3 linked regions of the Struthio camelus genome follow. The protein of the gene in region 3 interacts with the protein of the main gene of each other region in a biochemical or structural test. Links are inferred from orthologs where the notes say so. Each region holds a gene or a part of one and is shown on either strand. Other genes may lie near its edges.

Region 1 (3,745 bases), on a different chromosome or scaffold from region 3:
CAGAGTTTTGCAGCTTGGAGCCACAGCATCTCGATGGCTTTGTAAACTTCCTGTTGTGCCTTTTTAAAAACAGTCAGTTGGCATCAAACACATCTTTATGGTCTTATTCCTTCTCTGGGACTGTCCAGCATCAACCCCGCAGACTTAAGTACATGCTTGATTTTACGTACTGCTGACAGCCTCTTCTTAATGGAATGCCTCCCAGTACATAAAGTCAAGCATAGCCGAGCAGCTCCCAAACTTTTCTAGTCTCAGCCCCACTTCTGGCCACTCTTCTGGGCTTATGACCCCAAATTTGAGAACAGCCAGAAATCTTTGCAGGATGAGGCACTCTTGATTTGACTAGAATCCTTTGTATTTAAAGGGGGAACAAATCCTGTTAGCCCTTGGTTTACTCACCAGATAAATGTACTCTGGTCAGAGGTGTGAAACTAGTTCCTTTGGCTGTGTTTAGCAAGAACGTTCATCTATCTAAACAAATGCAGAAGTATCTGTAGTTCCTTTCCAGTCTTGCTGTCTTTTAGGCCAGATTCAACAGTGCATTTAGGCAACACTCACATAAGAGGGAAAGGAAATGGGGTACTTTTCTCCCTTGCAATCCAGCTGTAAGGAAGAGCTGTGTTAAGTCTGCTGTATTCCTCATTCAGAGCAAGCATCTGAAACCAGAGTTAGCACCTTGAAGACTATGTGATACTCCAAAATCGAGCACTCCCAGTTTCTCCTCCTGAAACCATTCTGCTACACACTAACACAAGCAAACAGACTGTGGAGCACACGGTGGAACCATCTCCTTCTCCTAGGAGGGTGCTCCATCCAAGTTTCCAAGTCATTTTCTCATCCTTCAGCTCATTTTTTTGTAAATAGTGCCCAAATCCCACTTTACTGAAAGCCCAAAAGGCTCTGCAAGTCATTTGGAGTCAGAGAATTGTTTTGTTTTGTCCTTAGATAACCTGTTAGAAATATTTCAATAAACTTCCAACTTGAGTTAACCCAAAACAGTTATTTACATACATGTGTGCATATATATATATAAATATACAGACGCGCACACATCCCCATGTATTTTAGTAGCCGAACTTTCCAAATTAGTTGCTGGTGTCACCCTAACCCTACTCCATCCCTTTTTCTCCCTCTGCTGTTTGCCCAAGAGGGGGGAGAGCAATGCAAACCCACCGGCTGCTGTCCCCCTCCTCATCCCCACACTATTAATAGCCAGACAACAAATGAGCCCAAATTCATTCCTGAGCGGAATTAGCAAATGTTTTTGCAATTAAAACTGCAAACATTCATGCGGGCCCCCCAGAACAATAGGCGCCTGTGCCTGGGCTTGAATAGGCACTAGTGTCCGCCCTGCCTGCCTGCCGAGGCTGCACATTCCTGGCACCCTCATCCCTCGACCTGCTCCTTGCTGAACTGAGGTTTTGTCACTGATTTTTCCCATCTCTGGTTCCCCCCCACATAATGCCACGCTCCTGGTGGGCGAGTCCTTCCCCTGGGCGCCAGGGCTGCCCCTGGACCTCTGTCCCATCCTCCGGCACAGTGCTGCGCAGCCTGTCTCCACATGCCCTGAACCCAGTGCGGGACCCGCGACTGGGACAGCGCAGTCCCCCCTGGCCTGGTGTGGGGCTGGGACCGGGACCGGGGCAGCGCATCCCTCCCCTGGCCCGGTGCGGGGCCAGGACCGGGACCGGGGCAGCACATCCCTCCCCTGGCCTGGTGCGGGCCCGGAACCGGGACTGGGACAGCTCAGTCCCCCCTAGCCCGGTGTGGGGCTGGGACCGGGACCGGGGCAGCACATCATTCCCCTGGCCTGATGCGGGACCTGGACCAGGATTGGGGCAGCGCAGTCCCCCCTGGCCCGATGCGGGACCGGGACCGGGGCAGCGCAGTCCCCCCTGGCCCGGTGTGGGCCTGGGACCGGGACCGGGGCAGCGCATGCCCCTCGGCCCGGTACGGGACCGGGACGGTGCATCTCCCCCTTCCCCTACCCCAGTGCGCAGCCGGGACCGGGACCGGGGCAGCGCATCCTCTTGCCGGTGCGGGGCCGGGGCCGGGATGGGGACAGTGCCTCCCCCCTCCCGCCCCGGTGCAGAGCCGGGACCGGGGCAGCGCATCCCCCCGGCCCGTCGCGGAGCCGCGGCGGATGCCGCTCCGCGCCGGCAACAGATCCGCGCCGGCGGGCGCGGGAGGAGGGAGCCCCGCTGCCGCTGCCGTTTCCCTTCCCTTCCCGTCCCGCGGGGCCCGGCCGCGACTCACCGAGCAGGGGCAGGAGCAGGAGCAGCGCCGGCCGCCGCAGCGCCATGATGGGGTGTGCGGAGCCGGCCCGCCGAGCCTGCGCACTGCCCGGGCGGCGGCGGCGGCGGCGGCGGCCCGGGGGCGGGGGATGCCGCGCTGCCGTCGCTGCGGACACCGGGCGGGGAGGCGCCCGGGCCGGCGCCTGCCGCCGCCTGCCCCCCGTCTGCGGGAAGGAGGGGGGGAGAGGGGGGCACGGCCCCGCCGGCCGGAGCTGCGGCTGCGATACCCGGTGCGCGGTGGGTGTGCGGGTCCCTCTAGCCGCTTCGCGTAAACCACCGCTCCGCCAGCGGGGAGAGGTGCTCGTTCAAAGCAGTCTATGGGAACCGTTTGCTAAGCACCGCTTCAGTAAGAAAACTCAACCCAGGACGAGGAGCTGTAAAGGCTTTAAGTGTGTGTGGGGGGGGGGGGGGAGTTTTGAGCGTGTTGGGACTTTTGTTGGTTGATTGGTTTGTTTTTTGGTGAGGAGTGAAGCGAACGAGGAGTTTTCCCGTCTCTGTTCAACAGGGGAAAAAACACCGTGGAAAATGTTTTTGAGCCACCAAGAGCTGCAAATAAGCTTGGAGGCAATATTTGAGCTTTTGATTATCAAAATAAATTAAGGTTTCACTTTGGAGAGGTTTTTTTCCCCTCTCTGTATTTAATGAGACCCCCTAAACAATCATTTCTTCGTGAGAAGTTCCTATCAGCAAGCTGTCTCACATTTCATTGTAAACTTTTGACCAGTTTAGAGCAAGCAAGGAACTCTGCTTTGAAATCAGCAAACAGCGAGTTGGGATCACAGATATGACAGAGCTTAAATGAGAGCGATTCTGCCCTGAAAAGTGACTTTGCCCAAAGAACATCCTGAGTTGCTGTGTGGTCCTCAAAAGGACCCTAGAATCTTTTTCTTTGATTCACGAGAAGGAAAAATATATACATGTATATCAGCCCTGGACACTCGCTCTGAATTCAGCAAATCAGTCTTGGTTAATTTTGGTTCATGCATCACTAACGCTCAGTATTCTGTGACAGAGAGATAATTAAGATCATGCTGAAGATCAACCAGCTGGAATGAAAGCCAAGCTCTCCTCTCTTCTCTAAACCAGCTCTGCAGAGTTGGTAGGAATTAAGGGATGCAAAGATGAATTTTACTTGATAATGTAGCAGGTCTAACTCAGGATGCTAATGAGTAGACTTACAAGGCTGATCCTCACCTGGTGAAATTAATACAGAGATTCTCATCAGTTCTAACAGCCAAATGGGACATTTCACTAGTGATGAAGGGGAAGAAATTAAGACTATATGGCTGAAAACCCTACTCCACCAATCTTAGGGCTGGGGCCCTGTTGAGTAAGGAGTCATTCGAACATAGTCCATTTGGACTAAAATGACAGGAGATGCAAAATACAACGACATTGACTATAACCAACGATAAAATGCCACTTAGGTGTCAGGTTCCTCCTCTAACTTC
Region 2 (3,745 bases), on a different chromosome or scaffold from region 3:
CTGTCAATTCCTACAGACAAGGCAATCAAACCTAGGTCACACATGCGAGTCATGCTTTTACAAGATGGGGGGAGTGGGAGGGAACAGACAAAACAGAACTTATTTGGCCTAGAACTCTGTATTTGGCCAGAACGTTCCTGAGCACTTCGGAAGAGTTGTTTAAACCAACTAAACTAAAAGAAAAAAAAAAAGCCTTTTTTTTTCCCTGAATCAAACTACCCCAGTGAGTTCCATCAAATGAGGCTTACCTAACACTACTATTTATTGACTCTGCATTGTCCTCACACAGAGGCATTTGACCAAATTTGCTTCCAGCATCACCAGCTTAAATGTAATCATTCCAGTTCTAATTTACACTAAAGTAAGGTTGGGGGGGGGGGGGGCAGAAATCACACCTAGAAGCTTCTCAAAAGAGTCAGTTCATCATTATGTGCAATTTCTCCACAAGTATTTACTACTACTATTAGCAAGAATATTTTCTGTGGATTTTCTAACTGTCTTAAAAATAGAGCTTGTGAGTCTTACTCTGTAGGATTGTTTAAAACCTTCATAGGCAGCATTAGTTTAAGAAGCCCAAACAGACTGTGACTAGATGACTGAAGATCTCACAAAATCTCTTTACTTCCCTCTAAGTTTAAGGTGAAAGAGAAGCCTTAACCCAGAAGGAAAAAAAATCACCAATAAACACACAAACAAACAAAACCCCACTATTTCTATGGATCATTAATATCTCACTTAACAGGTGGTCACTGAAAAGCAATCCAAATCTTGTTTACCTCCTCACTACTCTTGACGATGCTGACTTACTAAAACCAATTTACAAGATTTTTTCCAGCTAAAATATGCAGCAGTTCTCTACACTTACTCCACAATCTAATGCTCATGTTCTTCAGGTATCAACCACTTCTTCCAGTTCCTCATTAGTTTTTGCCCATTCCCACTGCTTCCACAAAGAGCCTGTTGGACCTCAGTCGCGTATAAGAGATTCCTCAGCCCATACCTGCAACTTGGATGCCAATATTAATCATATTCTTGCTGTGAATATATCGCAGGAGCAGCAGCGGACTCCTCAACGCCCTCTCTACGTGGATTTTCTCTGACTCACGTAAACAATCAGCATCTGCACACCCACCTACAGTCCTTATCTTCACACTGCAATTTCAGCAGCACCTTGCTAGTAAATCGAGTTGTCCCCATCTAGTGTTTCTTGGGATTAGGGACAGGAAGAGGAAAAAATGGGAGACTGCTAACAATTTAGGAACCACTTTGATCCACTGCGTTGCTTCCAGACCACCCTCTATCATCTCCACACTGGTCAAAAGAAGTCAGCATTGTCAATAGACACACCTGACCAGATAGCTGAGCAGCCTGAACACAGTGAAATCTGTCACCAAAAGCACAGCAGCCTTAATCTAGTCAGATGTACCCACACAATTAACAACAAATAAACAAAGAGATCAAAAGAACATCACTTCTTTTGATTTCTGCTATGAAGCAGAAAAAGTCTACACTGGTCACCCATCTAACAAACCAACACTTCCTCAGAGAGGTGAAGAGAAAAAAATAGAGAAAAACCAAACCACAGAACTAACGGAATAGATATGTCACTTCCAGTCTCTCCTCTCAGGACTCATTCCTTCTCTGCAGCCAAGGTGTTTCCACACACATAAGTTTCTGCTCGGTGAGGAGGAATAAAAATTAAACTGTAAAAGTACCCAGCATCAGGACCTTCCCACACCCCCAATAAATAGAAGGAACCCTTCCCAGTCTGGTCCCAATTAGTCACTGCTCATTAAAATGAACTATGTAGTACAGTCTTGCTAAAGGATCATTTCCACATACAGCGTCTTTCCTAAAATACCAGCAAGACATGAGAAGCATCCAATATACAACAACAGGAGCACAGGAAAGCATGATTGGCAAGTGACGGTCCTAACACACCACTGCCATCAGTAACACTGTACGTTAATTCACTGCTTCTTCACAGCTATGTGACTCCATGGTATTTTTCCCCTCCTTATTTTCATGTGCTTTCTGAGAGGCCAGCTTGTGCCAATTTATTTTAACATCTCCTTTTTTATTTTTTCCTCCTGTTTGTTTGCTTTTTTTTTTTAAAAAGAGTGAGACAACAAGATTATAAAAATACTAGAAACATGAGTCTGTCCTAGAGCTGCACTGTCCAACGCGGGCAACAGAAAACACGCGCCTGTCACTTGCTTCTTTCCGTTGTGAAATCCGCGACGAAACGCAAGGCGCATCCCCAAAGTTCCCATCACCGCGGAAAGCCACGAGCTTGCCCTGAAGCAGGCCGCGCTTGAGCAGGTTACATCCGTGCGGAAAACAAAAGACACATGGGAACAGCCAGCGCGGGCCGCCCCGAGGGGAGCGCGTGCTTCTACTCCGCTGCCGGAGGCGCGGGTTGCCTTTGGCCCCCGGGAGGATGGAGGGAAGACAACATCTCGCCGCCGCCGCGCCCTGCCCGGAGGCTCGCGGCGGGGCAGCGCGGCGCCCCCTACCGCCCGGGGCCGGGAGAGGGGGCCGCCCGGCCGCCCCCGGGCCTCGCTGCTGCGGGCCGCCCGGCCGCCCCCTCCTCTGGGGACCGTCTCCGCCTCGCGGCCCGGGGCCACGCAGCTGCCGTCCTTGCGCGGTACAGAGCGGAGGGGCCAAAGCACTCCGACAGAGCAGAAATACACACGCACATGCATACGGATATACAAAAGATTCGTCTGTGCAGTCCCCGGGGCAGCGACGCGGGCAACTTACAGCAGAGGACCCCCAAGTAACTGAGAAGGAGCAGGCGGAGGCTGCGGCTCGCCATCTTCCCGGCAACAGCTGCTTTCCTGAGGCGGCAGCGGCTAAATAAACGCGGGGAGACGCCGGGAGCGGCGGGGCGAGGCCGGACCCGGCCCGGTGGGGGCGGCCCGGGGGCCCGCGGCGGCCCCGCCTCGCCCCTGCCCCCCTCGGGCGGCGGCGGCGGCGGCGGCGACTCCGCGCTCGCCCTGGGCCGTTGGCGGCGTGCCGCGCCGCGCCCTCGGCGCCGCCGTTAACGGTCGCCTGGTCAGCGGGGCTGGCAGCCTGCGGGGCGGCAGGGCGGAGGGGTCCGCACCTGCGGGCCGGCGGCGGGGTGCGAAGGAGCCCCCGCGCCCCTTCTCCTCCTGCTGGCTGAGCCTCTCTCTGTCCTCTGCCCGCGCCGCTTCTGCGGAGCCGCAGGGCACTTGTGCGGCGGCAAACTTTGTCAGAGCCAGGAGATGAGTTTCCTCGCACGCTTTGTCTCGCCAGGGCGGCTCCGAGAGCAGCGGCGGCTCTACCGCCGGCTGCGGAGTTTGGGGTTAACTCGCCGTCCGCTCCCCCCTTGAAGCGTGAGGCAGGGAAAGAAAGGGAGCTGCGGCAGCGAGCGGCAACCTTGGCTTCAGCTGCTGGCACCATCCGGCTCGTCCGTCTGCCCCTGGGACCAATAAAACGCCCTGAAACGCTCCCAAGTTTTTATTGTATGCCGTTCTTCATTCTGATTTTTTTTTTTAATGGGACATCTACATAAGCTCGAGGAGATTTTTTTTTTTTTTTTTTTTTGCACAAGAATAAGCTTTAGCTTTGATTACAAAAAGCTTAAACTTCTTAAAGGAGGAGATCGCAATCGCTATTTGTACCAAAGTCAAACGCACCCGGGGCCAAGAGAAATTGGTATAAAGGGAAGTAGGAATAGCAGGGTGCAATCACAAGGTAGCTCTTTCAAATTACAGGCTTC
Region 3 (3,745 bases):
AAGCACTCTCCATGCAGCTCCCTTATTGCTAATCATAAACTGAAAATCATGACAAAGCAAGAAGCAATCTAAGAAGGGAATTGTCAGTCCTTCCAATATGCTTCAGGTAGTCCTGCTGAAGGAATTGCTGTCAGCACATAAAGTAAACACACTCATTTTTGCAGAGCGAGAAACAATGCTCTTTTTGCAAGTATGAAAACCATCAACTTAATTAAAGTATTCTGAATAGTCTTCCACCAGATATGTTTTTTTCCGTAACATTATAGTTGAAGTTAAGTAGATTTCAATGTCAGCTTGATAACAGCTGCCAGACCCTACATGCATGTGTGCCTTTACTCTTTCAGTATACGAATTACTTTGTCTCCTCTCCATCTCTTTCTGAAGCGAAGATTTGCTCAGTTGCTGCATTAATGTAGAAAGAAACCATCAAACTATGATAAAAAGATAATAATAGCTATGAAATTCTATCATTAAAACCATAAACTTACCATGTTAATCTACAATGAGCAAAGGAAACATCACTATACATTTACTTGTGAGACACTGAGGATTCAGCTCCTGACTACCAACACATCTCCATGGGAAACTTCCAGTGAATTTAAGTTAGAAGTAAGGTTTGACAGTGACTGCGTAATATACCCAAAGAAATGCCTGTGGACTCTGCTACTGTTTTCAGCCACAGCGTTTCCATATAATAGAAACAATCTCAGTAATTACAGCTACCTCGCGTCCATACCAGTGGCATATAGCACAACCACCATATAAATAATAGTAAATAAAACAACTGTGTCATTTAAAACCCACGAACAAGAACTTTGGGGACTAGGGGAAGGTCAAAGTCAGAATGCAACCCTACAAATAGTCTTTGCAGTAAATACTTCAGCATGTCACAAGAAGAGTTGCATCTTGATTTTTTGTTTCTTTCCACAGGTGGACCACCTCGCTGCTGAACACACCCGTACCGCTTGCAACCACATAACATTTTTCCGGTGACTAAAATATGTTGCTCTTGTGTTCACCACTGCAATCACTTCCATTCTTAACAATATTACTGCCATCATTTAACACAATTTAACTGCTGGAAACATGAGTGCAATCCAGTGCCACATGGTTATCCCTCGTGGGTCACACTTTTGGAACTCAAGACATAGTATAATTAGTTTTATCAGTGTTGTAACACTGAAGAACTAGTCCTGCAAACACTTTTCATCCGAAGGTGCAGCTAAGCATTTAGCACTCTCCCAAGCTGTTACAATTTACTGAAGCCCTTAACCCAAAAGATACTTCCGGCCACTGTCTCATACTTGCATGCAGATTGCTGCCATGCACGTTAACTGCACTGTATAAATAAGTAAATGCACACATGGCCATATCTTAGTAAATCATTTTACTCTTTCTCCAGCCAGTACACAACTGTGCTACAACAGGAGTAATAAAAATATATTGAGAATTCTTTTTTTCTTCTGCAAAATCACATTATTCAGGAGTAAAGTAAAGAGGGGGGTGGGAATTCTAGTTACCTTTCTCCTCACAGAAACCAGAGGTTCTTTCAGAGGAAAATAATAGTAAAAGTTTTATTGCAAGTCTTTTCAAGCCAGCCAATACTAATCACAATATTCTTTCAGCTATAAGGTACAATCTCAGTGAGTCTTGAAGTCAGTATTTGCCAAATCAAATCTTCCACGTTAAAAAGTGTAAAGAAAGTTAGAAAGAAAAAAAAAAAGATAAAACCCACAAAAAAACTCAACTCTCTGAATGAATTAGGGAGAGAAAACAGGGGAAGGGACACCGATTAAAACTTCACTGAACAACTTCCATATTGTCCTAATAAGCAGGTTGATGGGAAAGAAGTTTGCAGCAACAACTGGAAAGTAATAAAAAAAAAAAAAGAGAGAGAGAGAGAGCAGCAGCAGCCCCACCAAACCGCCGAGGGAAGGGAAGCCTGCACACCCACAGACATTTCAACATGGGGCTGGCCGAGGCCGACACGGGCGGCCACGGGGATCCGCGCTGCCGCGGGCCGGGGCAGGCGCCCGGTCCCGCTCCGGCGGGGCGCCCCGGGCCGGGCCTGCCCGCCGCTCCGCTCCGCTCCCCTCTCGGCGCGACGCGGAGCCTGCGCGGCCGGGCGCGCCCCGCTCCGCCGCCGCGGGGCCCCGCGACCCTGCGGCGGCTCCCGGCACCGCTCGTCGAAAGCCGGCGGCAGCCGCCCTCCCCCGTCCCGTCCCGTCCCGTCCCGCCCGGGCCTGGCGCGGCCGGGAAGCCTGGGGCTGGATTTCCAGCCCTCGGCGGCAGCCCCCGCCCGGCCCGCGGCCGCGGGGCACAGCCGCGGCCCGCCGCCGCCGCCGCCGCGAACAAAGGGCCCCGCGGCCCGCCAGGGCCCCGCGGCCGCGGGCAGCCGCGCCGGGGCCGCGCTCGCCGCCCGCCGCCCCGCGGCGCCTCCCGCCCCTGCGGCTCCCCGCGGCGGCGCCGGGCACACGCGCCCTCCCGGGGGCCGGCGCCGGCCGCCCCGACCCCAGCCCCTGCCCCGACCCCAACCCCGGCGCCGGCGCAGCCGGGGCAGCGCGGACCTCTGCCCTCGCCTCCTCCCGCCCCGCTCGGCTCCGCTCCGCTCCGGGAAGCGCCATATTGATCGCGGGCGCCGCTCCCGCGCCCCTCACCTTGGCGATCGCCTTCTTGTACCGGGTCACCGCTTGCTGGATGAGGTTGAAAACTTTCATGTTCCCGTCCCCGCAGGGCACGACCACCCGCGTCCGCCCGAAGCACACGGTGACTTTCATCCTGCGCGGCCGGGGGGCTCCCGGGTCCCTCCGGCCCCGTGCAGCCTTCCTCCTCCTCCTCCTCCTCCTCTCCGCCCTCCGCCACGGCCGCCCCCCGGCGGGGCGCGGCGCTCAGCCCCCGGCCGCCGCCGCCGCCGCCGCCGCGGACGCGCCTGCCTGGGCGCCCGGCGAGGGGAGGGCAGGGCAGGGGCGGCGGGTGGCTGCTTCCTCGGCGGGAGCGCGGCCAGGCGGCAGGCCGCGCCGCTCACATGCCGCGGCGATGCCCGCTGCCTGCGGCCACCTGCTCGGCGCCTGCCCCGGCGCGCAGCGGCGGCGGGCGGGGCGGCGGAGCGGCCTCCCCGCTCCGGAGGCGCGGAGCACTGCAACGGGGCGGGGGCAGGCGGCGGGCCCCGGGCCGGGAAGGTTGGTGGCCGGTGGGAGTTGGTGGCCGGTGGGAGTTCGTGGCCCGGGGGAAGTTGGTGGCCAGCGGGAGTATAATAGTCTGCGGGTTTGGTGGTCAGGGGAGTTCGGTGATGGGGAGGAGTTTGATGTCCCGAGTCCACGGTGGGTGGTCACAGGGGTTTGGTGGCCTGGGGGAGGTTGTGGCCGGCGGTGTTGGTGCCTGCTGGGGAGGTCGGGCAGCGGGTGCTGTTGGGAGCAGGGGGGCGGCTGTTGGGGCTTGGAGCACCGCAGTGGCAGGCAGCGGGAGCAGGACCCAGGCAGCGTTTCCCCCATCCCGTGGGTGGTCAGCGCAAGGCTGGTCAGTGAAATAAGACTCTCGGGTCACGTAGCTGCTTCAGTGTAGGCAGGTACACGGGCCAAGGCCATCATTGTGGGGGGGAGCATGTCACACCAAGGCCTCTTCCTTTGCTTTGCCCAGTCCCTTGGCTGTGGATGGGCCGGTTCCTGATGCCGAACTCGCACAAGGAACCGTGCAAAATCCTTGGCCCTCACCCCCGGTTTGTCTGCACAGAGGAAGAGCAGGCACA

Evidence for each region.
Region 1: the proteins of PARD3 (region 3) and JAM3 form a complex in vitro, tested with the Homo sapiens proteins (2 studies listed by BioGRID and IntAct, with this or other methods). The link is inferred for Struthio camelus from reciprocal best matches to the Homo sapiens genes PARD3 and JAM3.
Region 2: the proteins of PARD3 (region 3) and JAM2 form a complex in vitro, tested with the Homo sapiens proteins (2 studies listed by BioGRID and IntAct, with this or other methods). The link is inferred for Struthio camelus from reciprocal best matches to the Homo sapiens genes PARD3 and JAM2.

Annotation. Positions count from the first base shown.
Region 1 is NC_090963.1:5,625,010-5,628,754, forward strand, and holds the start of JAM3 (junctional adhesion molecule C), read right to left. Parts: upstream 2,403-3,745; 5' UTR 2,303-2,402; coding exon 2,257-2,302; intron 1-2,256. UniProt on the Homo sapiens protein: Junctional adhesion protein that mediates heterotypic cell-cell interactions with its cognate receptor JAM2 to regulate different cellular processes. Plays a role in homing and mobilization of hematopoietic stem and progenitor cells within the bone marrow.
Region 2 is NC_090942.1:117,216,381-117,220,125, reverse strand, and holds the start of JAM2 (junctional adhesion molecule B), read right to left. Parts: upstream 2,385-3,745; 5' UTR 2,274-2,384; coding exon 2,207-2,273; intron 1,233-2,206; exon of another isoform or gene 1,029-1,232; coding exon of another isoform or gene 1,001-1,028; intron 1-1,000. UniProt on the Homo sapiens protein: Junctional adhesion protein that mediates heterotypic cell-cell interactions with its cognate receptor JAM3 to regulate different cellular processes. Plays a role in homing and mobilization of hematopoietic stem and progenitor cells within the bone marrow.
Region 3 is NC_090943.1:15,894,491-15,898,235, reverse strand, and holds the start of PARD3 (partitioning defective 3 homolog), read right to left. Parts: upstream 2,857-3,745; 5' UTR 2,778-2,856; coding exon 2,658-2,777; intron 1-2,657. UniProt on the Homo sapiens protein: Adapter protein involved in asymmetrical cell division and cell polarization processes. Seems to play a central role in the formation of epithelial tight junctions. Targets the phosphatase PTEN to cell junctions.